Linked DNA regions of Notamacropus eugenii. The protein of the gene in region 1 interacts with the protein of each later gene in a pairwise test. Links are inferred from orthologs where the notes say so. Each region holds a gene or a part of one and is shown in the gene's direction. Other genes may lie near its edges.

The links.
Region 2: the proteins of IGF1R (region 1) and SHC1 interact in a two-hybrid assay, tested with the Homo sapiens proteins (4 studies listed by BioGRID and IntAct). The link is inferred for Notamacropus eugenii from reciprocal best matches to the Homo sapiens genes IGF1R and SHC1.
Region 3: the proteins of IGF1R (region 1) and KCNIP3 interact in binary tests that used the Homo sapiens proteins (3 or more experiments, as listed by UniProt). The two-hybrid records come from large-scale screens. The link is inferred for Notamacropus eugenii from reciprocal best matches to the Homo sapiens genes IGF1R and KCNIP3.

Annotation. Positions count from the first base shown.
Region 1 is NC_092872.1:155,732,919-155,743,762, forward strand, and holds the start of IGF1R (insulin-like growth factor 1 receptor), read left to right. Parts: upstream 1-5,574; 5' UTR 5,575-6,437; exon of another isoform or gene 6,438-6,901; 5' UTR 6,902-7,340; coding exon 7,341-7,434; intron 7,435-10,844. UniProt on the Homo sapiens protein: Receptor tyrosine kinase which mediates actions of insulin-like growth factor 1 (IGF1). Binds IGF1 with high affinity and IGF2 and insulin (INS) with a lower affinity. The activated IGF1R is involved in cell growth and survival control.
Region 2 is NC_092873.1:379,059,547-379,069,991, reverse strand, and holds the start of SHC1 (SHC-transforming protein 1), read left to right. Parts: upstream 1-6,379; 5' UTR 6,380-6,691; coding exon 6,692-7,180; intron 7,181-7,728; coding exon 7,729-7,799; intron 7,800-8,337; coding exon 8,338-8,401; intron 8,402-8,565; coding exon 8,566-8,685; intron 8,686-8,938; coding exon 8,939-8,992; intron 8,993-9,168; coding exon 9,169-9,220; intron 9,221-9,417; coding exon 9,418-9,544; intron 9,545-10,445. Other genes in the region: CKS1B (cyclin-dependent kinases regulatory subunit 1), read right to left, coding at 1-22, 1,976-2,160. UniProt on the Homo sapiens protein: Signaling adapter that couples activated growth factor receptors to signaling pathways. Participates in a signaling cascade initiated by activated KIT and KITLG/SCF.
Region 3 is NC_092872.1:606,296,516-606,306,852, forward strand, and holds the start of KCNIP3 (calsenilin), read left to right. Parts: upstream 1-5,045; 5' UTR 5,046-5,159; coding exon 5,160-5,366; intron 5,367-10,337. UniProt on the Homo sapiens protein: Calcium-dependent transcriptional repressor that binds to the DRE element of genes including PDYN and FOS. Affinity for DNA is reduced upon binding to calcium and enhanced by binding to magnesium. Seems to be involved in nociception.

The DNA of each region.
Region 1 (10,844 bases):
TTTATTCTTGAAGTAATATATTTCTCCTAGAATTATATCCCATCATAAAGATTTCCCACTTCCCATGTTCCCTCCTCTTCATGGGCTGGTACTCCAATGACAAAAAAGAATGTGTTGTACTATCATCTACTCCACACTGGCCTGGCTATAATTATTTTCTTTATCTTTCCCTTGGCTGTGTCATCCCTGGAAACTTTTTCATTGATTCTCATTTGCTTCTGTAGCAATAGGCACTTGGAGAAATTTATTCTTTTCACTTGTTCTTGTGGGAGGAAAATCCTTGTTCTCTCCCCTTTCCTATCAGGGTCAGGAAGAAAAATTCAATTATGGTTCCAATCACTGGTAATATAGAGCATCTGATTACTGTAGTGGTCAAATGAACCTTTTTTATATATCTTTCTCCCCCACTCCCCCAAAATTCTGACCTATCTTTGCCACCAGCTCAAAAAAGAAAAGGACATTTTAAATGGAGCAAAAGCTTCATAACTTTTTCCAAACCTCAAACATTTCAGCATTCTGAAATAATTTTTGCTTCTAAAATGAGTTACCTCTCTCCTCAACCTACAGCTGTATTAGTTACAACACACCCCATCTGCAGGGCTTTCCATAAGCAAAATATATCTCCTACTTCTTCAAATTTTTCTGACTTTTCCATTTGCTCCCAATATACTTTCATGGCTAGTTTCCTTTATCATTCAGCAAATGATCTAATAACTTCATTCTTACTAAAGTGTTAAGGACTTAAAGAGTGAGAGAGAGAGAGAGAGAGAGAGAGAGAGAGAGAGAGAGAGAGAGAGAGAGAGAGAGAGAGAGAGAGAATGAATTAAATGTGATGGATCATTCCTAATTTTGTTTCAGGTATTAGTAGAAGATATATTTTGGGATTGGAAGCTATCCCTGAAATGGTAGATTTGGGGCTGAGATGTACCTTAGAGGTTTAGATTAATGCCTTCTATGGATCAGGAAACTATGGCCCTGAAATGTTAAGGGACTTGCCAATTTCATATAGATAGAAAGTGGCAAAGCCAGTATTTGAACTTGGAACTTCTGACTCCAAAGCCATTTTCTTCCACCTGCCTCCCCACCTAATTACTTCTTTCCTTCCTCCTCTATTTGTCCAGTTGACCCTGCTCACAGGTTTTTATAGAAAGATGCTGTCTTCACCCACAGTTTGCTCTTAGCCTCTCTCTACTAAGGCCTGTGCAAATGTGATAATTCATAGACCTTTTTATGACTAGGTAAAGGGAGGGCAAAGAAACTTAAAAGTTAAGGTATTAACAATTAAAGATCAACCAGAAATAAAGATCATAAAATTTTAGGTCTAGTGCAATGCCTTAATTTTACAGAAAAGGGAACTGAGGCAAAAAGTGATTTGCCAAAAGTTACCTATCTGTTGGAAGACTTGTGATTTGAACCCAGGTGTCCTATTTCCTGCCTTGTTCTACTTTTAAGGCATTTCTAAAATTATAAGATTAAATAAAGAGAACTTAGAATTTTGACTTGTCAGTTGATAAACATTTATTAAGCTCCTACTATGATAAAAGCAACATATTACTTATTAGGAATATACAAAGAGGCAAAAGACTGACCCTGCCCTCAAGAATCTCACAATCTAATTGAATCTAATGACATTTTTACAGAGCATGCTTATTATATACAATGATGTATGTTCCACTGAAATATATCTCAGGAGTAAAGATAAAGTGAATTTTGGTTCATTGCTTTCAGATCATCCAAGTAATTGGTCCATTCTAGAGCCAACTCCATTACTTTATGAATGAGAAATACCTATTTAAAAGCCTGTTTTTCCCAACTCAAAATCTATGATCTTACATAAAAATAGTTTTTTTTTTTAATGAAACAATATAATGTCTCATACTCAACCTACTTGCCCAAGAGCTTCTAACTCATCACTTGGAGCATGGGTTCCTGTAAAACAAGAGAGAAAAGTCTCTAGATAGGAGTCTACTCACGTCGACTAAAATATGCTCCTTTTCCAAACTCTGGAAGCATGAAGGAGTAATGCTATACTTAGGGTGTGCCACTTCTGTGATTCCTCAGGGTACCACTCCTACCCACACTCCATATAGGGTAACTGTTGGAAATGGAATCGGACAAATTCTTCATGTTTTGTTTTGGTGTTGGTATAAAAGTGTCAGAATATATGGCTGTGATAGAAAGATTTTTCTACTCATTATGAATGCTGCCCAAAGAGATAATATGGGGGTAGAGAAAGAGAAGGCTTTATCCTCAGATACTGAAGAAAAATGAGGAGGATTTGAATGCTGTTCTCCATGTTGAAGGATTATATTAGGTCTGAGACCACCTTATCCAGTTTTCTATGACTTCAGTAATTAACTCCTCTTGAAAGGGATCATAGACAACCTTACCTTGTATCACTAAATTCTACTTTCTAGCAAATTATGCTTTGTTAGGTTCCAGGATTATTGCCAGTTCTATTAATAGTCTACATTGTTATGAGGTGTTTCAACTAAAATGCTGCTATATTTCAAAATTATTTAGTTCATGGTTATACTGTTTAATTAATTTAAGACCGACAGAATGGAAGATCATATAACACTCCTTGACGTTTTTAGTTTCATGATTCTTTTGTTTTTGTCTTAAATTGAAAGTGGTATGTGCACACACTGTTCCTCTGGAATGTCTGTTTGGGGGATATGGTTCTGATTTGAGTTTTTGAGTATTTGGTTCTGATTAAGCATATATTGTTGTTTCAGCTCGAACAGTTGGTGGATGTTTGATGTATGCATAGCTAAGAGTCTGGAGGGTTGATGTTTGAAGAGGGGGAGGTTTAGTTTAAAGGAACTTATCTTGTTTTGACTTTTCATCCTTTGGATGCATCTTACTCCATTTTCACTTTGTATAGATTACCTGGTTGTGGTCTGAGAGATTTATTAAGCATTAAGGCAACCAGTTTTATAAAAAGCAAACAGGGACATACTACCCTTCCAAAATAAATTGTAGAGGCACTTGATAAAATACTAACAAACAAGATGTTATATGTTACTATTTTAACTGTGAGGGAGTTGCTGCAAAGGGTGCATGAAAAACAAACAACACAGAATGATTTCTTCTGACATGAATTGTTTTCCTACTTCTTAAATAGTGATCTCACTTGGGTATTTCATGTGTGACCAATAAAGAAAGCTGCACATTAGGTTTTTGTCCATACAACCAAGTTTCATTCTAATGACAAACCTATTTTAAATTCCCCTTCCAAAAATGTCAGAAACAACAAATGATCTCAGTGGGTAAAATAACTTTACATCTTGCTGATTTTTCATTTTTAAAAGACACACAGGTACTTAAAAAAACTTTAAAATAAATTTTTTTATTGAAAAACCTTAATTTTTATACACTTCTTTGGCTGTTCCACATTCTGCTGGTCACTAGAGATGACCACAAAAAGCTAATTTGCATGGCAAATATTTGTTCCACAGCATTAAGAAAAAATTACATTTTTGTTTAGCAACTTTAACTTGCAAGTTCTAAATATTAGACTTTCTTTCTTAGTTTATTTCTAAAAGAAAAAAACATCTCTGAAAAAATATAATTAGGACATAAAATTGTTCATTTATTATTCAATTTAATATTTCTTAAATAAGTAAAAATAAAATGATAGGCAAACTCTCTAAGTACACAATTTAAAAATTGTACAATTTATTTTAGTTACTCATGCTCAATTCCTCATTTTGAAATAAATGTGAATTTTAGAAATCTTTTAAAGATTTCCAAGTGTTTTATTCTTTGCTGAAAGCTAGGAATCTACAAAAATAATCATCTCTCTTTCATTAGTTAAACAATTTCAAATTAGTACTTTTTAAAGAAATAACAACTAAAGAGGAAAAGGCTGATTTCTCTTTTGTAAAATTTACTAATGAATTTAACTCATTTTCCAAGATGGAAAGAATACAGAAAATCAACATCTGAAAAGATATAACATTTTATTTTCAAGAGCTTTTTGTTTTGCACTTAGGCATTAAATTTTCATCACTTATAAATGTAGGACCACTGTAATAATGACATTTCCTGAATCTTCTAGAATGATACATGATATAATGATATATAAAATAATGATAAAAGAAATATAATTTATTTTAAATAAGTCTTTTTTGGTAGACTGATCTTCCCTATTATTATCAGAGAACACTACTGTTTATGAGATAAATCATTTCTTTTTGACTATAGATATCTGTGATTTTTTTTAGTTTTATGCAATCTACTTTTTAAAATTTATTATTGATATCAATTAGTCTGAATCATGAAACCCAAACAACTTCCAAAGCACAGATTCCATATTAATCAATCCATGAATTTAGAGCTCACCTCTCCTGCCTGAGTTGTTACTAGTTTCAGGTATTTGTCACGAATTCATTCCTTTGCTGACAGCCCTCCTGTTCTGACCAGCCTCTGTGAAATACCCTCTGGTTAGCAGTCAACAAGGCTGTTTAAAATGGTAGATGACAATCGTATGGGTTGGATTTGGTTTCCATGTCATTTAGGTGGCATGTACAAATTAGAAAATTGATTATCTTGAAGGGCATGGAAGGAAAGAGGGATTAGTAGGTTTTGAAAAGGAAGGAGATTTGCCAAGAAGGAACCAGAACAGGCGAAAATCAGTTTATACAGTGGATTCCAAACTCAGATTCAGTGTTCTAAGAACCAGAAGGGGGACAAAGCAAAGCAACCTTTTATCAGTGTGTGCAATCAGATCAAAGAAAACTGGTCAATAAACCTCAGTACTGCCCCATGCTAATACCACAGATTGATACTGGCTGGTAAAAGAGCCCGGTAGAAAGGTAAATCTTCCCGTAAAGAGTTACAGAATCCCAAATAAATACAAAGTAGCCTCCTCCACTATCTCCAGTAAAGATCACAAGCAATGGAAACAGTTGCATCTCTCAACTCATCCCCGCCCCCCCAGCATCCCCGCGCGGTGGTCCCAGAATGCGGGGACAAAGCTGCTTATACAGTAAACACGCCCGAGCTTTAGATTCGTTGCCTTGGGTTCCGAGAGGCATTGGGGGATGGACACGGTCAGCGGCTATTTTGAAAATCTTGCTTTCATCACGGCCACCGCGTTTCCTCTCCCTGAAGGCAATGTTATTGGGGCTGCAAACAATTTCCTGGCGCCTTCCAATGCCCTCTAGCGGCCGACGTGGAAACGACTCCCTTGGGCGTAGGTGGAGGTCTCTGCTGCCTTTCTGGGCTCTTTCCACCCCCTTCTTGTCTCTTGGGCAAGGCGGCAGTTCTTCACATCCTCGGCTCGGAACTCCCCCCTTCGGCGGCCCCCCGCCCCCGTCTGCGCACTCCTCCACCGTTAGGACTCGAAACTCTGGCTTCCTAAAACCATAACATTTCCATCCGTCCCTCAAAAATGTCTTAAAGGAGAGCCAGGGTAAGACTGCGGGGCTTTCCTTCTTTGCCAAGGTGTAGTTCACCACTCACCCCCTCCCTTCACGTTGAGTTCTTAAAGCATGCTGCGAAAAAATGCGGCATGCATTTTTTTTTGCAACAGCTGCAAGAAACAATGAAGCTTTTCAAGAAATGGGGGGTGAATGCGCTTTCCAGTTGTTTTTTTTTTTTTAGAGACCTCTCAATTTTCTACCCTTTCCTCCGTACGGACAAAAATACATACAAATACCAATTCTATACGGATACATAACATATATCTCTTCCATCTCGGTGAGACGCGAAGCTAGGGGCATTGTTTTTGGAAGCAAGTCGGAGGGGAGGGTGTGTGCGTGCGTCTGTATTAGGGTGGGGGCGAGGGGGAGGGGACGGAAGAGAAGGGGTGCGTGTGGAGTCAGCTTTTTGCAGACTACGGGCTCACGCTGCGGCTCCGTTCCGAACGTTCCCGGGAATCCCAGGCTCCTGCTTTTGGCGCGCGCCTGTCTGGGCTGGGGCCCGCCGCGCGCTGCTGCTGCTGCTGCTAGTGTGTGTGTGTGTGTGTGTGTGTGTGTGTGTGTGTGAGTGAGTGTGTGTGCGTGCGTGCCTCCGGGAGCGCGTGCGCGAGCCCCCAGTGTGTGGCAGCAGCAGCAGCGGCGGCGGCAGCAGCAGCAGCGGCAGCAGCAGCAGCAGCAGCAGCAGCAGCGGCAAAGCGAAGCTGAGGCTCTTGTTTACCAGCATTAACTCCGCTGAGCAAAAAAAAAAAAAAAAAAAAAAAAAAAAAAAAGGCAAGCAGAGGAGCGCACCAGGCGAACTAGAGAGAGAGGGAGAGCGAAGCTGCGAGCAAACTGCCCCTTTGCAACAGCAATTTAGTCAAATCCTTGCCAGACCCTCTTATCCCGCTCGTTTCTCTCCCCACCTTTCTCCTTCCACACCCCTTTCCAGAGGAATTACAAACCCTTGCAACACCTCTTCGGCTTTGACCTTCAGCAAACCGGATCCCCCCCCTACGTTCCGGAGAGAGGAAGGTGGGGGGCGGTGTGTGTGTGTTTGTGTGTGTGGGGGGGTGTGCGTGTGTGCAAAAAGGGAATTACAAACGTTTGCTATGGGAAAGCAGTCGCCGCGAGAGGGGATGCAACGCGGAGCCCCAGCCCCGGAGCAGCAGGAGTGCTGAACAGCTTAAGTGTTGCTGCTGGGGCTTTGTGTGTGTCCTGGATTTTTTGGAAGGCGCCTGTAGCAGCAGCAGCAGTGAGAGAGGAGGAGGGAGAGGAGAGGAGGAGGAGGGGGAAGCCTCTTCATTCATTTTTATTCCGCATTTTTACCCATTTTCAGCCTCTCCAGCAACCTGGACTTTGGGGGATATTTAAAACTGCGTCGCATCGTTCCGACGTGGATACTTTGCGGCGTTTGGAAGCCTTTCCCTCTATTTTTGGTTGGGCTTGTTTTTCCTTGCAAGGATTGATTTGGATTTTTTTTTTCCCTTTCTTTGCAGTTTTTTTCCCCTACTGCCTTTCTGTGTGTGTGTTTGAAAATGGAGGTTGAAGATGCAGACTGCCAGTCTCAATGTGCTTCATGTTTGCTACTTCTGTGTCCATTGTATCACTGCAGCCAGCGCTGAGGGGGGTTTGTTACCTTTTCTGTAGCAAACACCACAAATACCTACATATCTAAAGCATCAAAATAGCGTTGTTTGGGGAGTGTGTGTGTCAGCTTCGACAGCCACAGCATCGACAACCCATCGACTCACCACGAGGAAAGAAATCATTTTTTAAAAAATTGCAATTTTCGAAGGATCTGTTTCTCATCTGGATTATTGTTTTTTTTTCTCCCTTGTTTCTGGAAGGGGTGTGGGGGCGGCAGTGTGAGTTTCGGACTCCCCCCTTTCCCCCTTTTTTTTTGGAGAAAGGGGAATTTCGTCCTAAATAAAAGGAATGAAGTCTGGCGCCGGAAGAGGGTCCCCGACCTCACTTTGGGGGCTTCTGTTTCTCTTTTCTACACTTTGCCTTTGGCCAACAAATGGAGAAAGTGAGTATCTCTCTCATCAGTGTTTCTACTGTGAAGTATGTCTTGCACTGCGGTAACTTTTAGTTTAAGGGGCCGCTGTCCTATTTTTCTGTTCAAGAATTTGCATCTTCAAGTCTATTTAGAATTTAGAGTTCAAGGCTGGTCTCTTTTTTAGCTTAATTTGGTTCTGTGTATGTGGGGGGGGGGTCTATGAAGTTGGGGAAGGGAGGAGCAAGTTGAGTGGGGGGGAGACGGTGGCTTGCCCCCACCCCCACCAAGGTTAAGCGCTTTCATCTAAGTGAAATAGCTTTACTTTTTGTTTCTTTCTCCAAAACAAAACCCAGACACTCACTCGACTCAATTTGGTAATTAACATTTGTATCAAGTTTGTCTGCTTAGCTTTGCTAAAAGTTCCCATTCTTGGAAGGTTCGAACTTGTACCCAGGGGATTGTAAACAACAGTCAAAGGCCACTTTTCTTTTCCACAAGTACCTGCTCTCCGGCAAAGACCAAAGCTACCCCCTCCTACCCCCCAGTTGTCTGGCGGGTGGGGGGAACGGACATTTGGAGGAGGCCGGGAGCTTCGTGTTTTTCCAAGCCATTTGATTAAAAAGCAATACTCTCTTCCCGGGAACCACACTGAAGCAGTGTGCCAGCCTGTTTGTTGTGGTTGGTTACATTTCATTTGGGACCGCTTTGCAAGGGGGGAGTTTCCTTTCTTAGGGGACCCTTATGCACTGACAGTTACCCCGGAACCGAAGGTTTCCCCACAGACACACATCCCTCCCTACTTAATCAAGATAAACCCCCTTGGTGAGTTAGGCAGTGCAAATGGGAAAGGGCCACAATCTTCCTCTGTGTATTAAGTGGCAGCAGGCGGGGTGCCTGGAGGCTGGGGGGGGGGGGGGGAGGCGTTGCTGGATGGCCTTGGGGTGGTGGAGGAGTTGGGAAAGAGTCCTGAAATGTAACAAACCTTTTGAATAGTATCAGAAAAAGAGAAGTTAGAACACTTGAACGATCTGCCCTAGAAATACTGTGCTGCAGCTCCAGGACACGTTTCAAAACATCCTTTTTTTTTTTTCTGAGGGGGAAGGAGGAGGAGGGAGTTTGGGAGGTGGGTGGGTTTTCCCCGGATGCGTTGTGAAAACGTGGTCTCCCTCTGTGTTTAATCCCACAAATAGGTGCCCCCCCCATCCTCGGACGATATTTAGACTTCTTTTATTAAAAATATTATATAATCCTCCTTCTGTCTGCCCACCCTCCCTCCCCCCTTAATCCAGCGTTTGCTTTCCCGGAATCTGCCTTTGTTGCCCACAATTGCAGAAAAGCTCTGCTCTTGTTGTCGGCGTCTCTAAGATGGAATTGTTTTTCTGCGTCGTTCCATGCTCCCCTTCCCCCGGCCTCCTCCTCCCTCCCCCGCCCCTGTCGGTGCCCGAGGAAGTGGCGGGGCCCAGCGCAGCGCTGCGGGAAAGACCGATCCACGCCGTGACCTGGGGCCCACGAGCTAGCGCCTTCTGGCGTGGGGTTTCCCCGAGCCCCGCTGCTGGAGCCGGAGCCTTCCCATGCGGGCCTCAGGACCTCTCCACTCTGCCTCCCCTCCCTCTTTTTTTTTTTTCTCTAGGTGGAGGGGTTAGAAAGGTGGAGAGGGAGAATGCGAATGCTGGGTGTGTATATTTGTGGGTGTGTAGATGCACGTTACACACGTGCATGCGAAATCTGTGTCTCAACATTGAGAAGTGCACAGACACCCTGCTTAGTGCTACTTAAAAAGTAGGACAACGTGTGTGAGTGGGTTTAAACCTCAGAGCGCGCCCTCCCTGTGTTTGTTTTGAACCAGTTCTCTTCTCTTCCCCCCCCTCCCCCATTATTATTTGTAGCACTTTCTTGGCACATCGTTAATAAGCAATATATTTCTACAAATGCTATCACTTGTAATCTGATAGACTTTGTTTTGGTCTTGTCTGGGTGGATGGGGGAGAAGGGAATGAGAGTTTCGTTGCACTTCTGGGGAAAATTAGGGGCGGGGATTCCTTTAAAAAAGCAAAAAGCACCCGGTGGCATTATAGTAAATTTGAGATGGCGGATGTTTTTCGGACACGTTGAAAAGTTTAAGCTAAGTAGTAGAAATAGGGATGACAGGTCCAGAGGATCTTGTGTGTAATACTTGAGTGTATACAGCTGGTGCCAGTTAACTCCTTGCACATAGGAACCGAGTTTTGGCTCTTAAACCTTTTACCTAGATCTCTTGAATGGGGGGTGGAAGAGTAGAATCAGGTACGGCGGTAATTAAAAATAAAATATAAGGAGAGTAAACATTCTTAATTGTAAAAAATGAGCATACCTTAATAATAGGAGAAAATCTTTACAGAATTAAAATATTTACTAGACAAATATTTGGAGGTCGTATGATCAAATTGGAACCTGCTGTAACCCTAATTAAAACAAAACAACTTGTTTTCCAAAGTTTCAGATCACCAGATTAGAGAGAGGTTTTCATTCCCTCTGTTGCCCAGAATTTTAGATTTTATTTTGAATATAGAGAAGGTTCTCAGAGTTTAAAGAGTGAATCTGTCACAGAACACACAGGTATTTTAAATTTGAACATGGCATATAATAGAGCTGTATAGTTTCTCCAGTTTTTGATGGCCAGTCTTGGACCTGTATGCTATTATTTCCTGAAAAGTCAGATGTTATTTTTTCTTGTTTAGGTAAAAAATATGACTTTTCTAGGAATGCTTATTTATAAAATGTTTTGTCCTGGGAGATAATGCATAGACAAAAAAAAAGAGTAATATTTCACATATGTTGCTTGTGTTTCAGTGACAAGAAAGTATTATAGGGAAAGATCAAGTATTTCCCAAGGACCCATTAAAAATGGTTGGTAATTTTCAGGTTGACAAATAGGCAAAAGTTGCCTCAAATCCCGATTGTAAAACAGAATTTAAATACCTTCTTTTCCCTACTGCACAGTAAGATTTCGAGACTTAAGGAATAGGTATGAAAATACTTTAAAATCTTTTGAAGAGATGTGTAAATGAATTTAAAGCCAAGTTATCAATCTTCACCATAATAGTAAGGTTAAAAAGTTGTATCAGAGACTAATATTTTAGCTGTTATCTTTGATCTGTGGGGTAAAGATTTGGGTACTTGTACTGAGTTGCAAGTATTGTGTTAAGGTACTCGGAAAAGAAGGAATGCTTAAGGATAAAGTATGTGACTGTAATAATGTAAACATTTCTTAATTTAGAAGGATAAAGAAGGTCTCAAAACAGATAAAGCCTAATGGAAATAATGTTTGAGTATTTTATACCCTCCCGTAAGCAGGCCTTGTAACTTGTTAAGGTTTAAGTATTACAATAACAGGCAAGTTGCTGTGTGTTGTGATTTGGGGCGGGGTATGGTGGTGGTTACTGTACTCTTTTTAAATAAGG
Region 2 (10,445 bases), on another chromosome or scaffold:
GTCCTTGGGCAACATGACGTGCCTGTAACAGAAATGTGGGGATGGTTTGCATCTAAGCATGGTGCAGTTAGGCAATCAACACTCTATATTATGCCTTTCACTCTGTACAGAAAAGTATATCATGGACTAAAGAGAAGATACAAAGGAACAATAACAATTCCTGCTCTCAAGGGAGCTTACAATCTAATGGGGGATTTCTTCAGTCAAGACTACTATAGAAACACTTTCAAAAACTTGTAATATATTATTGAGAACTTTAAAACTAATACTGTATTTGATTAATGATGCTGATGAGAATGGCATTATTAGAATACTTATAACAGTTGATTGATGATAGATCTTAATCAATATCTGGGAAAGAGCATGACTCTGGGGAGGGAATGTGGATAGTGGTTCTGAAAAGCCAGTGTACAGAGTAGAAAACTAAATGGTTTTTAATTTTCTGATCCTTTTTTGGAAAACTTGAAATACTTCTTAGCTAAGGTTCTGAGCTGGGGTCTAAGTCACTCAGGGAGGCAGATGAGCTGTTTGATTATTTGAAATCTGAGTCCTCGTGACCCAATTTGAGCTTCAGTAATGTCAATGAATATTTGCTGAATGTTCCTTGTATACAAAGGTGTCTCTGTATCCAAATAAATGTTTCTTGCCAGAATCCCTGATTAGGGATTTATATGCTAACAGGCTGAGAATTAAAAACCACCAACCTGAACAAATAATTTTCATTTAACACAGTAGCACAGGATATTTTAAACCAAGGCCTACTACAAAGCCATTTCAGCTGGGGTTCCAAAACGGCATGTTCCCCAGGACCAAACAAGTGACTTTTCCTTATTCTGATTTAATAATTGGGGGGACTGATAAATGAGTCTCTGTTATTAGTTTATTTAAAAGAACAGCTAAGAAGTATTGGGTTTTTATCTAGTTCTCTGCAACATTTTGTATGAGAGTAGGCACCCAATATATGTTGGCTGGTGTTAGCAGTTGCCTAGGGTGTACAGAACCCTATGCTAGGTCCTGTGAGATATACAAATGAAATCCATGTCTTTTCCTTGTATTTAAGGAACCTGAAATCTAGTTGGAAAGAATTGGAGATATCTTAAGAACCTTTATATTATAGCAAGAACAAATTAAAACGTTCCAATAGGTGGTTAGTAAATTATCTGTTTTCCAAAACACAAAGGTCTTAGAATTTTTGCAAGAGTGCCATTAAAATCCATTAAAAGAATTTCTCTTCTACATCTAGTTAACATGGGATCTGCCCCGACAGTTGCAGTGGCAGGTACAACTTACTATCATAGAATACAATGCTTTACATTTGACAGCACTACTAATAATTAAGAAGGGAGTCCTTAGTCAGAGGTACCAATAGGTCCTAGTTCTGTTTTCTGAAGCCACCTAGACTAAGTCTAATCCTTTTTTCTAAATGGTCCTTCAAATTTATGTGGATATCTGTCATATCCTTCCTCCCTTCAATCCATTATTTACTAGCATATTTAACGCTTTCGACGTCCTTCCCACTCACTGAACCCTCACAGTTCCAGGGGCAAAGGAGCCCTCAATCACCCCCTTTTTTCTTGGGGTTAATGGATATCACCGGCGGGCCTGCCACACTCTCAGTTCCATAACCACCTGGCATTCCTTAGGCAGACATGAAAGAGAGCTGTCAGTTTGAAAGAGGGTGGGGGGATGATGGCGGCAGACCAGCACAGGTAAAGGTAACAAGCCTTCACTATTTCGTCCCCTTCCTTTGCAACTTTATCAAACCGCGAGGATTCCACGCATGCGTTCTAAATATAATTTACCCCGCCTCACTACGAACCTTTCCTGCGCATGCGTCTAACTTCCCAGTTGGCTCTAGCGCATGCGTTTCTAGCTCTTTCTCCCGTCCATCGCTAAGGCTAAGATGGTCCTCGCGCCCGCACCCGCCGTTGCCTACTTTACCTAGCATGGCCACCCCCTTCACGCCCGAACTGACCGGTACTCGAACTCCTCATCGTCGTATTTGTCCGAATAGTAAATTTGTTTATGCGACATGTCTGCTCCTTCCGGGGGACCCCAACCCCGCGCCTCCAACCGCCTAACTACAGCTACGCGCGCGCGCACCACAACTCTACGGGGCCTCGCTTTCAAACCTGCCGCTCCTTCAATTAATTGGCTCATTCTATCGGAGGCGGGAAAAAGAGCCCACCTTTGAGACGCTTATTGGCTTTTATAGTTTTCACTCTATCCCACCTCGGGTTCTTATTGGTCCATAGGGCCAGACAGTATGTTTCGTATACGCCCATGAGACCATACACAAGCTCTTATTGGGTATCATTACTTGAGGGCCCCACCCTGCACTTCTACGGGAGGGGCGGGGCAATGAAATGGAGAAAGGAGGAGACACGTAATGCGTAGGGGTCAAAGGTTAGTCAGGCCGGAAGTGAGTGCAATAAAGTTTCTTCGGGGAGGCTGGGCCTGGGGGGGGGGGAGAAAGTTGGAGCGTCTCCTCTAAGAAGCTGCGGCCGCCAGATCCGGAGTGAGACCGGCCCGCGGCGCGGAGCGGAGACCCCATGCGGCCCTGGTGAGTATGAAATTTTTATCATCTTTATTTAATATTCTTCCCCCCAATCCACTGGAATCCCACTTCCGGCCAACCATACATAAGTCCCGCCTTCTGGGACCCCATCCCCGGAAGTCCAGCCCCCAGTTCAGGGGCTCCCCGAACCCCTCAAAGTTGTCACCGACCTAAATGTTTCCCCCTCCCGCCCCCTATTTTGGAAAACTTTGCCTTCCTCATCCCTCCCCCCCGAAACCACGCCCTCTTTAATCTTAACACTCCCTGAACGCCCCTACCCCGAGAGGGGGCCCTCCAACTATTCTTTACGGCTAGTCCCGGGCTACCCGTACCCCACCCCGAAGTGCCTTCTAGAATTCTGGGGAACTCCGCCCTTCATTAGGTCACGACCCCTCTGTATACCTCATTTCTTTCTCCTCCCTGGCCATTTAATTCAGTAGGGGCCCATTTCCATTTAATTCAGTAAGAATTTATTAAGCTCCCCTGTGTGTCCCACAGAGTGCTTGTCTACGTATGCATAGACAAAAACCTAACAATTCCTACTTTCAAGGAGCTTGCCTCCTAATGAGAGGAGACAACATGCAGGTAGAAAATTAAATATAAATTATGCACAAAGTAATTTCCATAAGAATAATTTCCTTTAGCAACTGGGGGAAATCAGGATAAACTTCCTGGAGATAGTGGCATTTGAGTGGAACTTTAAATGAACCTAGACATTTTATGAATCAGAGGTGGTTGCATTACAAGGATGCAAAAGGTACTGTGTAGAGGTACAGAGATGAAAGATGATATGCTGTGGACTAGAATAGTAAGCAGATTAATTTGGCTATAAGACAGAGTGTGTGAAGTAGAGAAACACTAAGCCTGGAAAAGTAAGCTGGAAAATATTTTGGATGACCTTTCCCTTTATAATTCTCTGAAACCATACCTCCCAAGAGATACTTCTAAGGTGCTCATTAAAATCTGAAGCGATCCTTGTAACCTGAAAGGTCCCTGCTTCAAACCCAGAAACCTGGCTTCCTTTCTCAATCACACTCTGTCCTTCCATCCAGCCTAGGTTTTCTCCTCAGTTCCTGGTGCCTGTGTCCCTGTCCCCCACCCCATATTGTGGTAATAATTTAAATAAATGAGATATATAGCAGTATCCCCTTAAATTCCTTTGAGAGAGGCAGTGCAAATTTTCTCATTTGCATTTTACACATGAGGAAACTGAAACTCTGAGAGTTTAAGTGACATGATCACATTAGTATTATGTATTAGAGGCTGAAATCATCTTAAGTTTGCCAACTGTAAGCCAAAGGCTCTTTCTACTGCCTCATTATTCCTAACCCTGACTCAAATCTGAGGGATTGAAGATTGGCTGTACTTTCCCTCCCCTTTGGGCCTTAATTTTATTCTTGGGTGTGGGATGACCTGAAGTGGGTTGGGCTTGGAGGTAGGGGAGAAGGGATGGGAAATCCCTCACGAGTTCCCAGATCTACTCCCTAAGTTTCCCTTCCCAGGACCGGCTCCACCCCAGAAACAGCTGCATGTCGTACCTGTACCTCAGGAGCTGGGCTGGGCCATGGATTCCCTGGTGTGTGGAATGGGGTTGTGAAATGGGTAACTTCTCCCTACCTACCCTAAAAGAGTAGGGTATTTTGCAATTGGGAGGTGTGGGGGGATGCTTTTTGCTCTCTGGCCCTAGAGACTTTACTCCAACCCCCATTCCTGTTTTCTTGTTTAGGTATTCCCCGTCTTTTCTATGTCTGCCTAACCTTCAGTCCAGGAAACATTCCTGAGGCTTTTGCCATTTCCGGCTGCTCCCTGCCACTGTACTCTCCTCCCCCTGGGCAGAGAAAGCAGATATTCCCCACCCCCACCCCAAACCTCTGAAAGTCATCTAGTTTTTGGTTCTCTGGAACTGAGTTTCTTCTACATTCTTTTCCAAATATTCCGTTATATATGGCTCACTACTCTCTTACTGTGAAAGCTATAAGAAAGTGAGTATCTCTAGACAGTACAAGAGTCTTGGCACAAAGTATGTAGGATATCGGGGTAATTATCTTTTGGGTCTTCTTTTTTTTCTGTGATCTGTGAACTGAGTGAGCCCTGGGGAGTGAGGAAATGGGGATGATAAATTTCTTCTCCCAGTTAGGAGTTGAAACAAACCCTTCTCTCTTCTCTCCCCTCCCCCATTTATGGGATCGTAGATTCCCAGCAGGAGGAGACCTTAGAGACCATCCAAGCCAATCCTCTTCCCTTCCATTCATTTTATAGATGAGGGGTCTGAGGCATGGAGAGGTTGCCTAAAGTTGCAGGTGCCAAGTAGAAGTGGGATTTTAGCCCTGGTATTCTGACTTCAAATCCACCATTCTTTCCACTGCTTCTGTTAGTACAATTTGCCTAGGAGGTGAAAGAAAGCTTTTCCCCCTCTCCCTAGCTAGGAATGTACCTGAGGCTTAATTTTGAATTTAGTTCCTCTAGTCTTTTTTTGCTGTCTGCCTTTGTAGGAATTTCTGCCCTCTCTTCCATTTGGTTTGGCAGGAAGTCAGGAACTTGTGGGTGGAGGAAATGAGTTTTGGACTGTTTCCTGTGTCCAGACTCAAACCCGACTCCCCAAACTCTCCTTTTCTGTATGATTAGAATATGGGGGAAGCGTGAAGGTTGGAGTAGAGCCCTTTTTCAGAGTGGCACTCATCCTCAGAAGGGAGATTTAGGGATAACTGGGAGAGAAGTGGCAGTTGGATTACCATATATATGTATAAGACATTGCCCATGGATGCCAGGGGCTGCCTTTGACCCTCTTTGCTTTTAAATCTGCCTTTACTATCAGTGCCTGGTGGCTATGGGGAGGAGTCTGGAAGCCTAGCTTTGGAATCAGAGAGAGCATAGACCTCTAGGATTAGGATAATTAGGATCCTGTGGTCAGTAATGGATTTTCCTTTCCTGTGATCTTCATGGAATGGGTAAGTGCCCATATACAAAGGGAGAGGAACCCCACGGACAGGAGAATTGTTGGGTAGTGATGTGTCCTAACGTTTGGACTCGGGAGAACAGAGCCTTGCCCACCTTCCAAGTGATGCTCTCTTGGTTGAAACATCATCTTGGGAGGAAACTGACAGCTGAACTCCCCCAGTAATGCCCTAGGTAGTACAGGTGGGGGCTGGACTGTCTTTGTGGCTGGCTCACTTCCCTTATGTCATGTGGAGAGGCTTAAAAGGTGAGACTCATCTCACCTGCCTTCTTTCTTTACAGTCCCAAGCTCTCCAGGATCCCACATGCTTCCTTCAGAGGCCTTGTTGGGCTGGCTCTACCAATGCACTGGTTTGGCCTTGCTCCCTGGCTCTTTCAGTCTCTCTTGGCTCTCTGCTCATCTTGCCCCTTTGCTTAGCAACCCCTTCCTATCTTTCTTTCCTTCCCTGTTTCCCAGACAGCACAGAGAGATTTTCTTTCTACTATATCTCCAGCTGTTATGGCAGTTTTAGCTAATGGCCTTGAGGTTCCCTGGGGATCTTCTCCCCACGGCAAGGTTGCCAGAATTTTTAACTGGGGTGGGAAAGGGAAATAAGTCAGGGATTGCCCCCTTTCCCTGTCTTTCTCTCTTTCCTTCCCCACTGCCCTGGCTTCCTGTCTTCTCCTCCCCCTTCGCAGTCAGGCATTAGACTTTCAGATCTGTTCTCTCTTCTCATCATCCCTTCCCTTTTCCCCATTCCTGATTATGCTTGGTTGGGAAGAGGGGGGGTGGGTGGATATGTGGAAATGGGAGGGCCACAGAGATTCCCTCCCTTAGGATTTGAGGCCTTGGGTGGGGTAGAGGTGGGGGGCTCTGCCCCTTCTGTGCCTGTGAGTCAGCACTGTCCTCCTGATTGGCCTCCACTTACTAACTCTCCTCCCCTGGGGAGGAGCCAAACTGTTCCTGGTCCAGCTCTCTCTTCTACAGCTAGAAAAGAGGCTTCATGCTAGGCGGGGTTGGAGCTAGGGCTTGTCTGGATCTGAGCTGGGGGAGTGGTGGTCTTCTCTGCAAGGGTTCTGTGACTATCTGCCTGTATATAGCAGATCAGACTAAGGGTCTGGGAATGCCCCCAGCCCGGCCCCCTTACCCTGGCTGGGGGGAGGGCCGGGCTGGACAGCAGTTTCCTTTCTCCTCTAGCCATGGATCTCCTGCCCCCCAAGCCCAAGTACAACCCTCTTAGGAATGAATCTCTGTCTTCATTGGAAGAGGGGACTCTGGGATCCTTATCCCCTGGGGAGCTATCCTCACCATCTGCCTCTTCCTTGGGACCCATCTTGCCCCCAGTGCTGGTGGATGATAGTCCTACAACCCTTTGCTCTTTTTTCCCTCGGATGAGCAATTTGAAGCTAGCCAACCCAACTGGGGGGCGGCTCGGTCCCTCTGAAGAGTCAGGACAAGGACCTGAGGATAGGGAAGGAAATGCAGGGGGCACTGGGCCGGACTCAGGCCCTTCACCTCTTCTCCAGGACATGAACAAACTGAGCGGCGGGCGGAGGACTCGGGTGGAAGGGGGCCAGCTGGGGGGTGAGGAGTGGACTCGTCACGGGAGCTTTGTCAACAAGCCAACTCGGGGTTGGTTACATCCCAACGACAAGGTCATGGGACCTGGGGTTTCCTACCTTGTTCGGGTGAGTGAGTATGTCCGTATTCTCAAATATTCCTCCCCTCAATCCCCATGTAGTCTTCTTTTGCCTGAGACCCTTGTAAGTCCCTTGTTTTGCTGGATTTTATGTTTTCTTTATGTGCCAAATTCCCTCTTCAGGTCCCTCCATGTATTACTTCCTACCTGTCCTGTTCCCTGCCCCAAATGCTGCTATTTCCCATTCCTTTCTGTTTCCCCCCTGCTTTTTTTCCCCTAATTCTTGTGCAGACATTCTTATTTCCTGTTCTCTTCCTCCATATCATTCTGGTCTTTTCCCAGCACCTAAAGATTTCTCTTTCCCCATTACTTTACATAGACTGTTTCTCTAACCTCTTCTTCTCTCCCTCTACACTGGGACCAGGGGTGTTCTACATTCAGATACCAAGCATAGTCAGTGGGTAGGCGTTCACATTCTGGAATTAATATAGGAGAAAATCCTGGGGGGTCTTTTGTGTGCATGTGTGTTGAGGGTGGTGCTGATAGTAGTTGGCAGAGGTCAAATGCTCCACTTTTCCCTCCCTCCCCCTCCCTCAGTACATGGGTTGTGTGGAGGTCCTCCAGTCGATGCGGGCCTTGGATTTCAGTACTCGCACCCAGGTTACCAGGTAAGTGGTGTCTGTCTGGGGGCATGGGGGCCAGTCAGTGTTGCTGGGGCTCATAGCAGTTAGTGAGCTCCTGGGGCTCTGTGGTCATGATAGCACAGGAAGAGCATTATTACTGAGGGATGGGGCACTTAAGGGAGCCCAGTGGAAGATCTAGGTTCCCCTCTGCCTTTTCAGCCTTGGAATGGAGGAGGCACGCACTTGAGTCAATGAACTTTGGCTGGGCTTACTGTGTGCCAGCCCATAAGATTACAAAGACCCTGAAGGGTGGGAGCATGGTTTCAGGGAAAATTAGTATTTGGTGACTAGAAGGGTTGAGGTTAAGGGGAAGTGACTGGGTCCATCACTGGGCTCAGAGGCCCTAATCCAATCAACCAGCAGGCAGCTCCTTAGTATCATCAAATATTAAAGGCCCTTAATTCAATCAGCCACTACAAAGAGCTCAGAGTGCCCCTGGAGTCTGTCCCTGGCTTCCCCTCCCTTAGACCTATGTTGGGGCCCAGGGAAATCTTTGCTTCTAAGCAAGTCTTTGTCTTCTCAGAGAAGCCATCAGTCTGGTGTGTGAGGCTGTGCCAGGAGCCAAGGGGGCTGCACGAAGGAGAAAGGTACCTGGGGAGCATTGTTGTGGAGAGTAGTAGATGGGAGGAGAGACGGAGGGGAAGCCAGGAGCAATGGAGGGGAGATGGGTTTCTGGATATAGAAATTGGGGCTTTAGGGGTAGGCCTGTAGCCTTTAACCCCCAAATTTTCTGTGGATCCTTTCTTATTAGCCCTGTAGCCGCCCACTCAGCTCCATACTGGGGAGGAGTAATCTAAAGTTTGCTGGCATGCCTATCACCCTGACTGTTTCTACCAGCAGCCTCAATCTCATGGCTGCAGACTGTAAACAGGTTTGTTGTGCCTGGGGGGGTTGGGGAGAGGGAAACAGTCTAGCCAGTGAAGAGAAGTCAGAGAAACTCAAGGGGAGAAAGTGAGGGAAGAACTGGGTATCTGGGTGGAGATAGTTAGAGGGCCCCTGGTGGAAGGGACCAGGGGATGGGACAGAAAGAAATAAGGGAGTTAGTAGGACAGAGAATACTAAGGAGTGAAGAATGTGAGTCAAAGTGGAATTGCTAACACTACCCCACCACCCCAAATTCTCAGATCATTGCCAATCACCACATGCAGTCAATCTCATTTGCATCCGGTGGGGATCCGGTGAGTTATGGTAAAAAGAGATGGTGGCTGGGGAAAAATGGAGTGACTCTGGATTGAGGTGACCCAGAATGATTGGGTAGAGGTGGGGGGGGAATAAAGAGGTTTTTGTGGGCTGGTGGGGAACATGTAAAGCCATGCTGGCTGATCTTACCCCGACTCGGAACCTGATCCCCTAGGACACTGCTGAGTATGTTGCCTATGTTGCCAAAGATCCTGTCAATCAGAGAGGTAAGTGGGAATCTGGTAGGGTGGGTCAGGGGTTCCTTCTCCAATTACTAGTTCTGTGGTCATTGAGGGCACTTGAAGCTTCCCTTGCCCAGTGGGTGCTATTTCCAGGGAGCCTGGGATGGCTGGGATGGGTCATGCCTGAACATCCCTAGCCCCGCACTTGTTGCTTATAAGGACAATGCCTGCTGTGCCCATAGCCTGCCACATCCTGGAGTGTCCAGAAGGACTAGCACAGGATGTCATCAGCACCATTGGCCAGGCCTTTGAGCTGCGCTTCAAACAATACCTCAGGAACCCACCCAAGCTTGTCACTCCCCATGACAGGTAGGATGAAGGCTAGGGATGTGGGCATTGGGGTGGGAATATTTCCCTAGAGGAAAAAATACTTCAGAAATATAGTAGAAACCCACATTACCACATTCAGTCTAGCAAGCCTTTCTAAAGCTCCCACTCTGTGCAAAGCATGATGCCAGTAAAAATGGATAAAAAGACCAAAAAAAAAAAATCAGTTCATCCCCTTGACTCTGACAGAGCTTCCATTCTGCATGGGAGAGTACAACATTTCAACAAATCAATACAATTAAACAATTAAATTAGACAAAGAGGAGAAAGCTGTAACAACTGGGTGGGGGACAAAGAAGCCAGTGACGCTGAGCTGAGAGGTGGCACAGATGCTGAGCATTGAAGAAAGCCAGTTTTTCTAAGCAGTGGAGATGAGGGGTGTGCTATCCCTCTTGCCTCAGCTCACTTGACAGGTTCTTTCTCAGAGCTAAAAGAATCTTACAGAATGGAGGAAGTTACCCCATGTCCTACCTGCCCTACCTCTTTCTTTCCCATGTTTTCTACTGGCTTTCTGGGAATTCTTTCCTGGGGTCTAATCTCTAGCGCTGCTGCTGTAATGGTAGCTTCTCGTTATCATTTCTTTGGGAAGATGAACTGCTTTGGAATCTAGGCTGTCCCTCTTTCTAGATAAGCCACGTCTTCCACAGACTCTGGGTCCATAACCCCTGGTCAGTTAATAGCTAATATCTGTTATTCTGCTAGTATATAATTCTTTTAAAGTTTGCAAATCCTTTTGCACAAATATCTCATTTGATCCTCACAAAACCCTGTGAGGTAAGCACTATCAAGAAAGAAGTGAAGTGACTTGTCTAGCGTCACGTAGCCAGTAATGAGCTCCACTGAGATCTTCCTGATCCGAGGTCCAGTGCTGTCTACAATGTCA
Region 3 (10,337 bases), about 450 Mb from region 1:
GGCCAAGATACTGGAATGGTTTGCCATTTCTTTCTCTGGCTCATTTTACAGATGAGGAAACTGAGGCAAACAGGGTGAAGTGACTTGCCCAGAGTCACACAGCTAGGAAGTGTCTGAGACTGGATTTGACCTCAAGTCTTCCTGACTACAGGCCTGGTGCTCTAGCCACTGTACCACCTAGCTACCCTGGAAGTTCTTATCAATTTGAAAGTATTTTTATTATAGGGCCCAGAAGAAGATTGTATGTCATTCAACAACTTAGCTCTATTTGGAGGGGTTCACCATTAGAGGGGTGATCACTGCACCAAATGATGACTTTGGAGGGGGCGCAACAACTCTTGAAAACATCCACTAAAATAGAAGGGACAATGAATGAGTTGTATTAAGCACAGGATTATGAATGGTACCTGGGATTTCATTAGAATAGGGAACTTCCAGATGGGGAAACTCCCTCTACTATTGTAGGTCAGCATCCTCTCTGCAATTTATAATCTTAGATGGTTATCTAGAGCAGGGAGAGGTTGTGACTTGGCCAGGATGCCATAGCCAGCGTGTGTCAGAGGCCAGACTTGAAACCAGGTCTTCTTTGCTTCAAGACCAGTTTTCTATCCATTAACCCACAACACCTCCTATGATCTACTTTGGTAAAAAGAAATACTAAAATGTGACTGTTATCATAATTTAGTAGAAAGTAAGCTTCTTTAAGAGGGAAGGACTGTTTTCATTTAGTCTTTACATCCCCAGACTAGCACAGTGCCTTGCACTAGTAGATACTTAATAAGAGCTTGTTGGTTTGGATTAGATCTTTGGGACATTCTATTCCATTCAACAATCGCTTATTAAGCATGTACTATGTTCAAAGCATTGTGTTAGGTGTCAGGTCACACAAAGAAAAAAAACAACGAAGTAGTCCCTGGCCTCAAGGAACTTACTCTGCTGGATGGAATTATGTGCACTGATAAGCAAATACAAAATGCATACAATTAAATACTAAATAATTTTGGGAGTAAGGGGAAGAGAGTGTTAACAGCTAGGGGGATAAGAAAGGCCTAATGGTTCCTGAGTTTAGCTTTAAAAGGAGCCAGGGCTTCTAAGAGGTGGAGATGGAGAGGGGGAACATTCTTTGATTAGAGTGGGAAGAGGTCATGGTAACCAGTACCGAACTAAATCCCCTTACTGTTTATTTAGATAGGACTTTATAGTTTCAAAGTGCTTTGTGTGATTGTCTCACTGCAATGAAGCACCTACTACGTGCCAGATACCTGGCTAGGTTCTGGGGGCATAAGTACAAAGAATGAGACAAGAACTCACATTCTAATGGAGGAGACAAGTAGGCAGAGTATACACACACACACACTACATATAATGTGTATAGTGTATGTGCACATAGATAGTATGTATTATATAGCATTATATGACACAATTCTACATATATTATGTGTCATGGAGTATATATACTATGTATACCATAATGCTATATATACTATATAGTATGTATGCTACATAGTATATACAGAATGTACATACTATAGTACATATAGTAGATATTGCATATATGTATGTATGTGTATGTATCTACATCATCGTCTGCATCGACATCTCTCTCTCTCTCTCTCTCTCTCTCTCTCTTTCTCTCTCTCTCTCTCTCTCTCTCTCTCTCTCTCTCTCTCTCTCTCTCTCTCTCTCTCTCTCTCTCTCTTTCTCTCTCTCTCTCTATCCATATCTAGTAGTTAAATACAAGGCTGTTGGGGCAGGGACCAGGGACTATTATCCCTATTTTATAGAAGATGATTCATTGAAGGTTCATTGAATCTAGATAATGGGATTTAGGGATGGCAGGAACTTTTAAGTACACTTCCTTCCTTACACTACAGATGAGGAAAATGAGACCTAGAGAAGTGAATTGATTTATCCAAGTTTACAAAGGCAGAAGTGGTGGAACTTGGATTCAGGCCCAGATGCTTTGGCTCCAAGTCCAAGGCTTTCTCCCAAGACCGCCCTGCTAGTACTTGGCACTGGAATCGAGAACTTCAAGTCTCCTTTTCCTTTGATTTTCCTGCCCTACCTCTCAGTTAACCTAGGAAAACTCATTGTCCCCAGAGGTATAGGGATAACCTGAAAGTATCAATAGACTCAAGAAGGGAGAACTAGGTTAACTGATGAATAATTGATTTATCAAAGGTTATTAAGGGGAAGTTGCAGATGTTTGAGGGGGTCACATGCAGAAACTTTTGAGGTGAAATTCACTAGTAGCAGACATCTCCACCCTCAAACTGTTCTTCAAAAACAGAATCCTAGGCTGAATGGTCCACAGGATTTCCCCAGGGTGGCATTTCTGAAGTCTTTATGATTTCCAAGCTATGGCAGTCCCTTCCATCAAGGAAGAGTTTTACTAACAGAAACATGTTTCTTCACCAATTCTCCAAACTTAGAGGATGTTCCCAGATGACATGTCACTGGAATGACTGTCCACATATCCCCTTGGAAACTGCTGGGACATTAGTGACAGATTAATGTGGGGGTGGCCATATGGCCATGAAGTTCTGCTCATTCAGACCCAGGGGAGTTAAGATGGGAATGTGAATCTTTTGCCTGAGGCACAGGCTTATTATAAACACAGTGGTCACAGATCTCTGTTAACTTGGGTCCTGCTGAGAAGCAGGAGGATGGACTAGATAACTCCTTAGGGCCCCTTGGGATAAGAGATTTTAGAGTCTGCACTCTGCTTTTCACTTCCATAGAATGGTTCCCTGAGATTCAGATGTTACTGCATAAGAAGGGGGCAGAGTAGAGAGTAGGGATGACTTGTAATCCTTCCGGTCCTTTTTTTTTTTAAGGACAGCTACACTAAACTAAAACGATGATAACTTGAACATGTTCACAACTCAGTCCCTTTGGCTCATCACCCAAACCTGTTGGCCTCAGCAGGACCCTAGCCCTGGGGTTGAACTCCAGAGCAGAGAGGAAGTTGCAGCTCTCCAGGAAATGCACTGACTGAGCGGGGGAAAGGACAAACAGGAGAGAGGGAAGCAGGGCACCATTACAAATACTCTCATCTTACCATTCAGACCAGAGAGGAGGATGGGGGAGAGAGGTAGGGAGGGAGGTTAAGGTACAGGAGTGGGAGGGTGAAGGAAAGAGGGAAAGAGAGAGAAAATGGTTAACAAAAGAGACAAAGAAGAGAGATGATGATCAGAAGAGAGGGTGGAAAGAGAGAGAAAGAGAGAAGGAGGAGAGAGAATGAATGGGTAAGGAAATGAAAGATCTGGGAGAGAGAAAGGAGAGGGTGGGGAGAAGGGAGAAAAGAGAGGAAAAGAGAGAAGGAAAGGGAAAAAGACAGGTAATGGAAAGGAAGAAAGATGGGGGAAAAGAGGGAAAGGAGAGAAAAAAGAGAAAAAGGATGAGAGAGGAAAAGGGAGCGAGGAGAGATCAGTGAGGAGATAGAGGGAGAGAGGGAGGAGTAGGGGAGGGGGGAGTTGGGGAGAGATGCAAATTAAAATCACGTCTCAGTCCAAGCAAACATAATGCTGCTGCCAAGTGGGCCCGTGGCTGTCCCAATGTTCTCGAGCGCCAGCTCCAGAGCTTTATCATCTGTTCCAAGAGCGTCCTAGGCAACAAGACTTCCATCAGCCAGGGAGATGCAGCGAGCAAAGGTGTGTTGCTTCTTTTCCTTAGGGTCAAGGTGGAGGGTTCCCTGGGTGAATTACACTGGGAAAGAAGAGATTTCAAAGGCTGTTTGTGCAGACCCTCTCTCTTAGTGCCCCCTGTGGGACTTGGCCCCCTACTTTTGACATCCATCTCTGCCTGGCTAGAGATGAGAGGGAAGTAATACTTCATAATTCTGTAGCATCTTTTGGTTTGGGTCTCTGAGTTGACAGGGGGCTGGAAACATGACTTCTGGGCTTTCAGGGCATTATTCTGGGGCCAGGGTTTGTTGGGGGTTGGGAGAGGGATAAGCTTTCTAATCTCTTTGAGACTCTGGGACTGGGAGAACAGAAGGTTGCAGGCATAATCTGAGGCAAGATATGACAGATTCTTGTGTTCTTCTGAGGGTCCTTGTGAGCTTTGATCATTTCAGGGTCTGGGACTAGGCATATTGGGCTATAAGACTCACATATAAACTGGAGGGTCACTCAGTGCCCTCACAGTTCAGAAAGAGGCAAAACTATGGGAAGACCCCCCCTAGGAGGGCAGTGAAAGTGTCTGGGGAAAGATCTACTGTCTGGCATAGAGGAAGGAGACAAAAGTTTTTTTTCCAGGATCTGGGAAGTACTATTTTGGGGGAGAGTTTGGCCACACACATTTGGCAGCTTGGGAGAACAGTTCAGGTTCTCAGTCCTTGTACCCCTTTTTTCTGCAGGGACTGAAGAACCTCTCTCTGGGGACTTAGTAGAAAGAAGGAAGGAGGGTAATCATTTTCTGCTTTCCCTTTTCCTTCAAGAAAATGGGAATAGAATATTAGAGTTAAAAAAGAGCTTAAAATGATCCCAATTCCTCATTTTATATAGGAGTTAACAGACTCAGAAAGGTTGAGATTTCCCTAAAGTCATACACTAATCAGCGTCAGAGCCAGAACTCGACCTCAAGCCTCTCCAGGGAGCTTTCCATTACAGTCCATTGGTCTTTTTTTGAAGTTCACAAACCACAACCCTTTTAAGATTTAGGCTTTTTATGTCAAGATCAAGGGTTAAAAGTAGAGTCCCCTCATTCCTGAAAAATGTCGGTATGGTTTGGCATAAACAGAGGACTAATGAAAAATCCGAGGGTTTATGAGCACAGGTTGAGGGGTGAAGATGGGGACTCGAACACCTGGAGAAACCGGGCTGAGCCTCTTTCATGGAACCCCAATAGGACCTTCTCAACGTCCCCTCCAAACCTCCAAGACTCACAAAGTTCAGGTCTGAGTGGCAAACAAAAGGCCAGTGAAGACATAGAGCCCTAAGAATTCATCTGGACTAGAAAGACAGAGGAGGAAGAAGGAAAGATGTGGAAGGGATCATAAGACTGGGACCCTGCGCAACGGCCAGGTTAAAAGCAAGAGGTCTGGAGGTGGAGCTCAGGATCTAAAACTGAAATGAACGTAAAAGGCTGAGAGAGAATGAGAGGGTTAAGGCAGAGGCTGGGAGCTGCTGGGGGTCTGGGAGAAAGGGAGAGGAGGAATGAAGAGGGATGTGATAAAAGGGTGGTTGGTGGCCAATAGCCCACTAGGCAGGGAGGGGTTAACCGAGGCTCTGGAGAGGCTGGGCTGGGAACATGGGAGGAGGAACCAGCTCAACCCATTGTTCCCTCAGCTACATCAGACTTCGCTTCGACAGCTCCACCTGCCGTGTTCTACCGACACCTCCTCGGCCTCACCCACCCTGCAGGTAAGACTGGCCCTATCTGGCTGGAAGGGGAGGGGACGGGAGGGAGGGACAGGGGTTGACTTGGGGAGGTGGGGTAATGCCTATTACCGAAAGGGGTTGGGGGAAGGTAGAAGGAGGAGGAAACTTTCACCCTCCCTCTTCTGCTTTCTCTCCGCCTGGAGTTAGGGCTGGGAGGAGCTCAAGGAAAAGGAGGGGTCTCTCTCTGGAGCTCCTTATCAGTCTCCCTCAGAAGGCACCAGGGCTTGGAAGAGGCAGTACTGTAAACTTGGCTGTGACCAGGTGCCACAGAACCGCCATGGTTCTGAGGCGGGGGGGAAGGTTCTGCCTGGGTCCTTGGGGACACCCTAAGCTTACTCTTCGTGTTGGCTCTCTATCTCCTTCCCCCCCCCACTTCCTGACCATCTTTGGGGCTCCCCCCTCCCATCCCCTACTCCCTGCTTTCTTCTTAGACAATGCTTCCCCGGACATCTGCTTTCTGAATGCTGGATGTTGGACTCATCTACCTTCTCCTTTCTCTGGGGGTGAGAGTAAGGGTGACATTTTAGAATTCACCTGGTGCTGTCCCTGTCACCTTTTCAGTTACCTACTCATTCTTGTTCAGTCATTTTCAGTCATGTCTGACTCTGTTATCCCATTTGGGATTTTCTTAGCAAAGATGCCGGAGTGATTTGTCATATCCTTCTCCAACTCATTTTACAGATGAATAAATTGAGGCAAACAAGTTAAGTGACTTACCCAAGGTCACACAACGAGTGTGTGTTTGAGGGCAGATTTAAACTCAGGAAGTTATTGTCTTCCTGACTCCAGATTTGTCTCTTTATCTACTGGCCACCCAGTTTCCCCCTGACCTACTGCCCCTTATTCATCTCAATTCAACAAACATTTATTGAGCCCTTAATGTGTCCAGGGCATGATTCAAGCCCTCATTCCTGTCCTTTAGGAGCTTATGGGCTAGTAATTGTACATAAGTAACTATAATGCCACTTAGAATGTGAAGGTGACTTGAGAGACTTGACAACCAAGTGCTCTGAGATCCCAGATATAAGAGAGATAAAATGAGTCTGGGGAATAAGTGGTTGCAGCTTCATAGGAGAGGTGATATTTGAATCCTTTGCAAAGATCCTACTTTCAATTACCTGCTCTGGGTGAAGGTTGAGGAAAGAAATGGTGATAGTAGTTTTTTGTGGAGCTTTTGACCTGGGACTTAAAGGATGGGCAAAATATCCACAAACAGAACTAGGCAGAGGGAGAGAGGGAATGGTATTGAACAGAGAGGAAAGAGTTCTGACTTCTTTGGTGAACAAGTTCAGTTTGACTAGAGCTCAAGAAGTGTAATGAGAGGGAAGAGCCTTAAAGGGAGATTGAGGCCAGCTTTTCCTACTGAGGAAGCAGTTTTCTGTTTTTTAAGGTAAAATATTATTTTTTTTATATTTAAATTTATTTATCTTTAGTTTACAACATTCAGCTCCACAAGCTTTTGAGTTTTAAATTTTCTCCCTCCCCTTCCCCCCTTCCCAAGATGACATGTACTCTGATATAGGCTCTACATATACATTCATATTAAATATATTTTCACAATAGTCATGTTTTAAAAAAGAATTATAACCAATGGAATGAACCATGAGAAAGAAGAAACAAAACCAAACCAAAAAGAGCGAACAAAGAGTATACTTCAATCTGCATTCAGATTCCTAATTCTTTCTTTGGATGTGAATAGCATTGTCCATCATGAGCCTTTCGGAGTTGTCTTAGAACCTCGCATTGCTGGGAAGAGCCAAATGTATCACAGTGTAACTGTGTACAATGTTCTTCTGGTTCTGCTCCCCTCACTCAGCATCAGTTCATATAAGTCTAGGAAAGCCAGTTTTCAAAGCTTCTGAAGGGGAGGGAAAGTGTCTGATTTGTGGGCTCTGATTGTGTACCTGAACCCTTGCTCTGTGTAACTTCTTGATCTAGGCAAATCTTTAAGGGAAACGAGTATGGAGTAATTACATCTCCTTTATAAATTTAGGACTGGGATACACCTTGTCATAATCCCTTCCCTCACCCATTGATCCATTTTACAAAGAGGAGGATCCTGGGCTTCTGATTCATGGGGTGGAAAGAATGAGGCTAGGAATGAGCACTCCCTTTTGCTTGGAACCAGGCAGAGGTGTGTATATGTCTGGGGTGGAGAGGAGATGATGCAGTGGGTGGGGCATTATGGACAGGTGGGAGCACTGGTTTGGACAAGTACTCTGCTCACCTAGTGACTGAATCTTCTGATGCTACAATCAGCTAGAAGCCTTCAACCCAGCCTCCCAATCATAGATTTTAGGAAGGAGAGGAGGTAGCCAAAAGTTAGATTAAATGTTTATATGTTTCAGGGATTAGAAGCTGCCCAAACACTCTCTGCATTGTAGGAAAGTGGAACATGAAAGAAAGGTGGTATTGGAGTGGTTTTTTTAAATGATGCTCTTTCGTTTTCACATTAGACAAAGGTTTAGGAGCTCTATTTGAAATCAGTCAAGAAGTATTTATTGAAGCACTGCCACATACCAGCCTTGTACTAGGCAACAGTGCAGTAGAAATATTTAACTGGATCTCTGATTTCGTTGATTTGTGGGTGATCACTCCAATGGTACTGTTTACAACTTCAGCCTATGAGGATCTGTCCAGTTCCCTGCAAGCTTTTCTCTAGTTCTTTTATTATTTTTGTGGATTCCAGTTCATTTTGCCTGGAGGCATTATGGGATGTAGATCTGGAAAGGAATTAAGGGATCCCAGCCTCAGTTTACAGAGGAGAAAATTTGGACCTAGAGAGATTTAACATGTGAAGCCTGAGGTCTCACAGGTAGAGCTGGGATCTGGAGAAAGGTATTCAGACTCCAAATACAGTGAAAACACTTCACTCTGCTGCCTCCTACAGAGTGGAAGCTTATGCAATACTTCCTCATAACAGGCTAGGTAATGTAAATATTATCCTGATTTTAATAGACATGGAAACTGAGGCTCAGGGTGGGGTAAAGTAACATAGTGATTCTCCCAAGGTCATACAGTTCACGAGTGGCAAGATCATAACTTAAACCTGTTTTCTGAGGTTCCAAGTTCAAGGTCCCACTCTTCTTTCCCTACCAAATGTTCAAATGAAAATTGCTAAAGGTGTTCAAAGAGAGGGGAGATTTTCCCATCTGGGATTGTAGGAGAAATTTCACAGAAAAGGTGGGTAATTGAATTAGACTTTAAAGGACTGGAAGGATTTGGATTCTGTGAAAAAAAGGGGGAGAGGGTATTCCTAGGTGCTCAGTCAGAGGTGCTGATAACTAGAGTAATTTGGAGTCACTTTTTATGCTTTGTATTTTGTATTCCCAGGGCCTAGTACAGTGCCTTGCACATACTAGGTGCTTAATAAATGCCTTTGGATGAACTTTTCTGAACTTCAGGCAATCTTCAAGTTGGAAGAAATCAGATATTTGTCATCTCAAGAGGCAGATTTCTATACCTTCCCTATTCCTCAGGACATAAAGACCCTCAATGGGAATTCCCTCTACAGAAGATATTCTAGCCCCTCTGTGCCTTAGTAGATAAGAGTTTTGATGAATTTCTTTTAAAAGTCTCATCACTTTCTAGTCACACCTCCTCTCTCTGTGTGTATATAAATAAATCTAGTGTCCAAAGGATACAAACAGTTTTCAAAAGCAGAAACCCAAACTATCAGTAACCATATGGGAAAATGCTCTAAATTACTAATAATATGAGAAATGGAAATTAAAACAACTTTGAGATGTCACCTCCCACCCATCAATTTGGCAAAGATGATGAAAGATGGAAACAGTTAGTGCTAGAAAGGTAGTGGGAAAGCAGGCACAGTAATAGTTTGTTGGCGAAGCTATGAACTGCTGCATCCATTAGGAAAGCAAAATGGAATTGAACATAGAGGAGTTGATCTTTTATGTACCCAGGAAACTCAGAATGTAATCACAAGGTGCTTATGAGGTGTTAAAGGAACAGAAAAGATGAATCTAATCCCTTTATGAGGTATGACCACCTTTTCTTGAGTGAATCGGATGGGTCAATCCCATTGGCAGATGAAAATGGACACGCAAACCCCAGGTACCCTTTAAAGAGCAGCTTGAGTTGGTAGAAGCAGCCAAGGCTGGGGACAGTTTTAGGATGACTGCTGGTAGAGGAAGGGGTTTCTTTTTTTCCTCCACCCTATTAGGCATGCTACATAGCAACATATGTACTTGCCCAGAAAGAGACTACCCACCCATCTAGCATTTGGAGAGTAAGTCTGTATAAGTTCAAGACCCAGTTCAGGGATCAGAGGCATATATAGTCACCCAGAGGAGGGAGCAGATTCAAGGAGCATGACCTCTATGTGTACAAAAGAAAGTAGTTATGGACTTTAGAGAGAACAATCCTGTCAAGTAGGAGCCAGGCCATAGAGAAGACTGTGCAAAGACAAGAAAGGTAGCTAAGACTTGAAGCCCTGAAGTGGTCCATTGCCTTTGCACATTTGCATATGTATTCCAGACATAAGTGCCTCACTTTTGTTATACTTTAGGTTTGTGCCTGCCCTTTTAATGGAAAGATGTTATGGATGTGTGGAGAGTACACACAGTTTTATGGGGAGATTTTGTAGCTGTTTTTTCCATGTTATCTTAGTAAATGCCTCTGCTAAGAACCAATTATAACTACTGGCTATTAATGAGAAACACACTGGTGGGGGCTCATGAGCTATAGTTCTAGAAGTGAGCACTCGCTAAGGTTATCTCCCTAAAGAATGGCAGTAGTCACCACTGTGAGGATCCAACTCGGGAGTGTGAGAACAAATTGTGAGAGGAGCTCAGAGTAGGGATGTATGCTACACCGAATAATTTATATTTTTTGATCCAGTTGTATACCATAAGGAAGGAAAAAAAACATGCCCATTTATACCAAAATATTCATAGTAGCTACTTGCAGTAGGGGAAAACTGGAAGCAAAGCA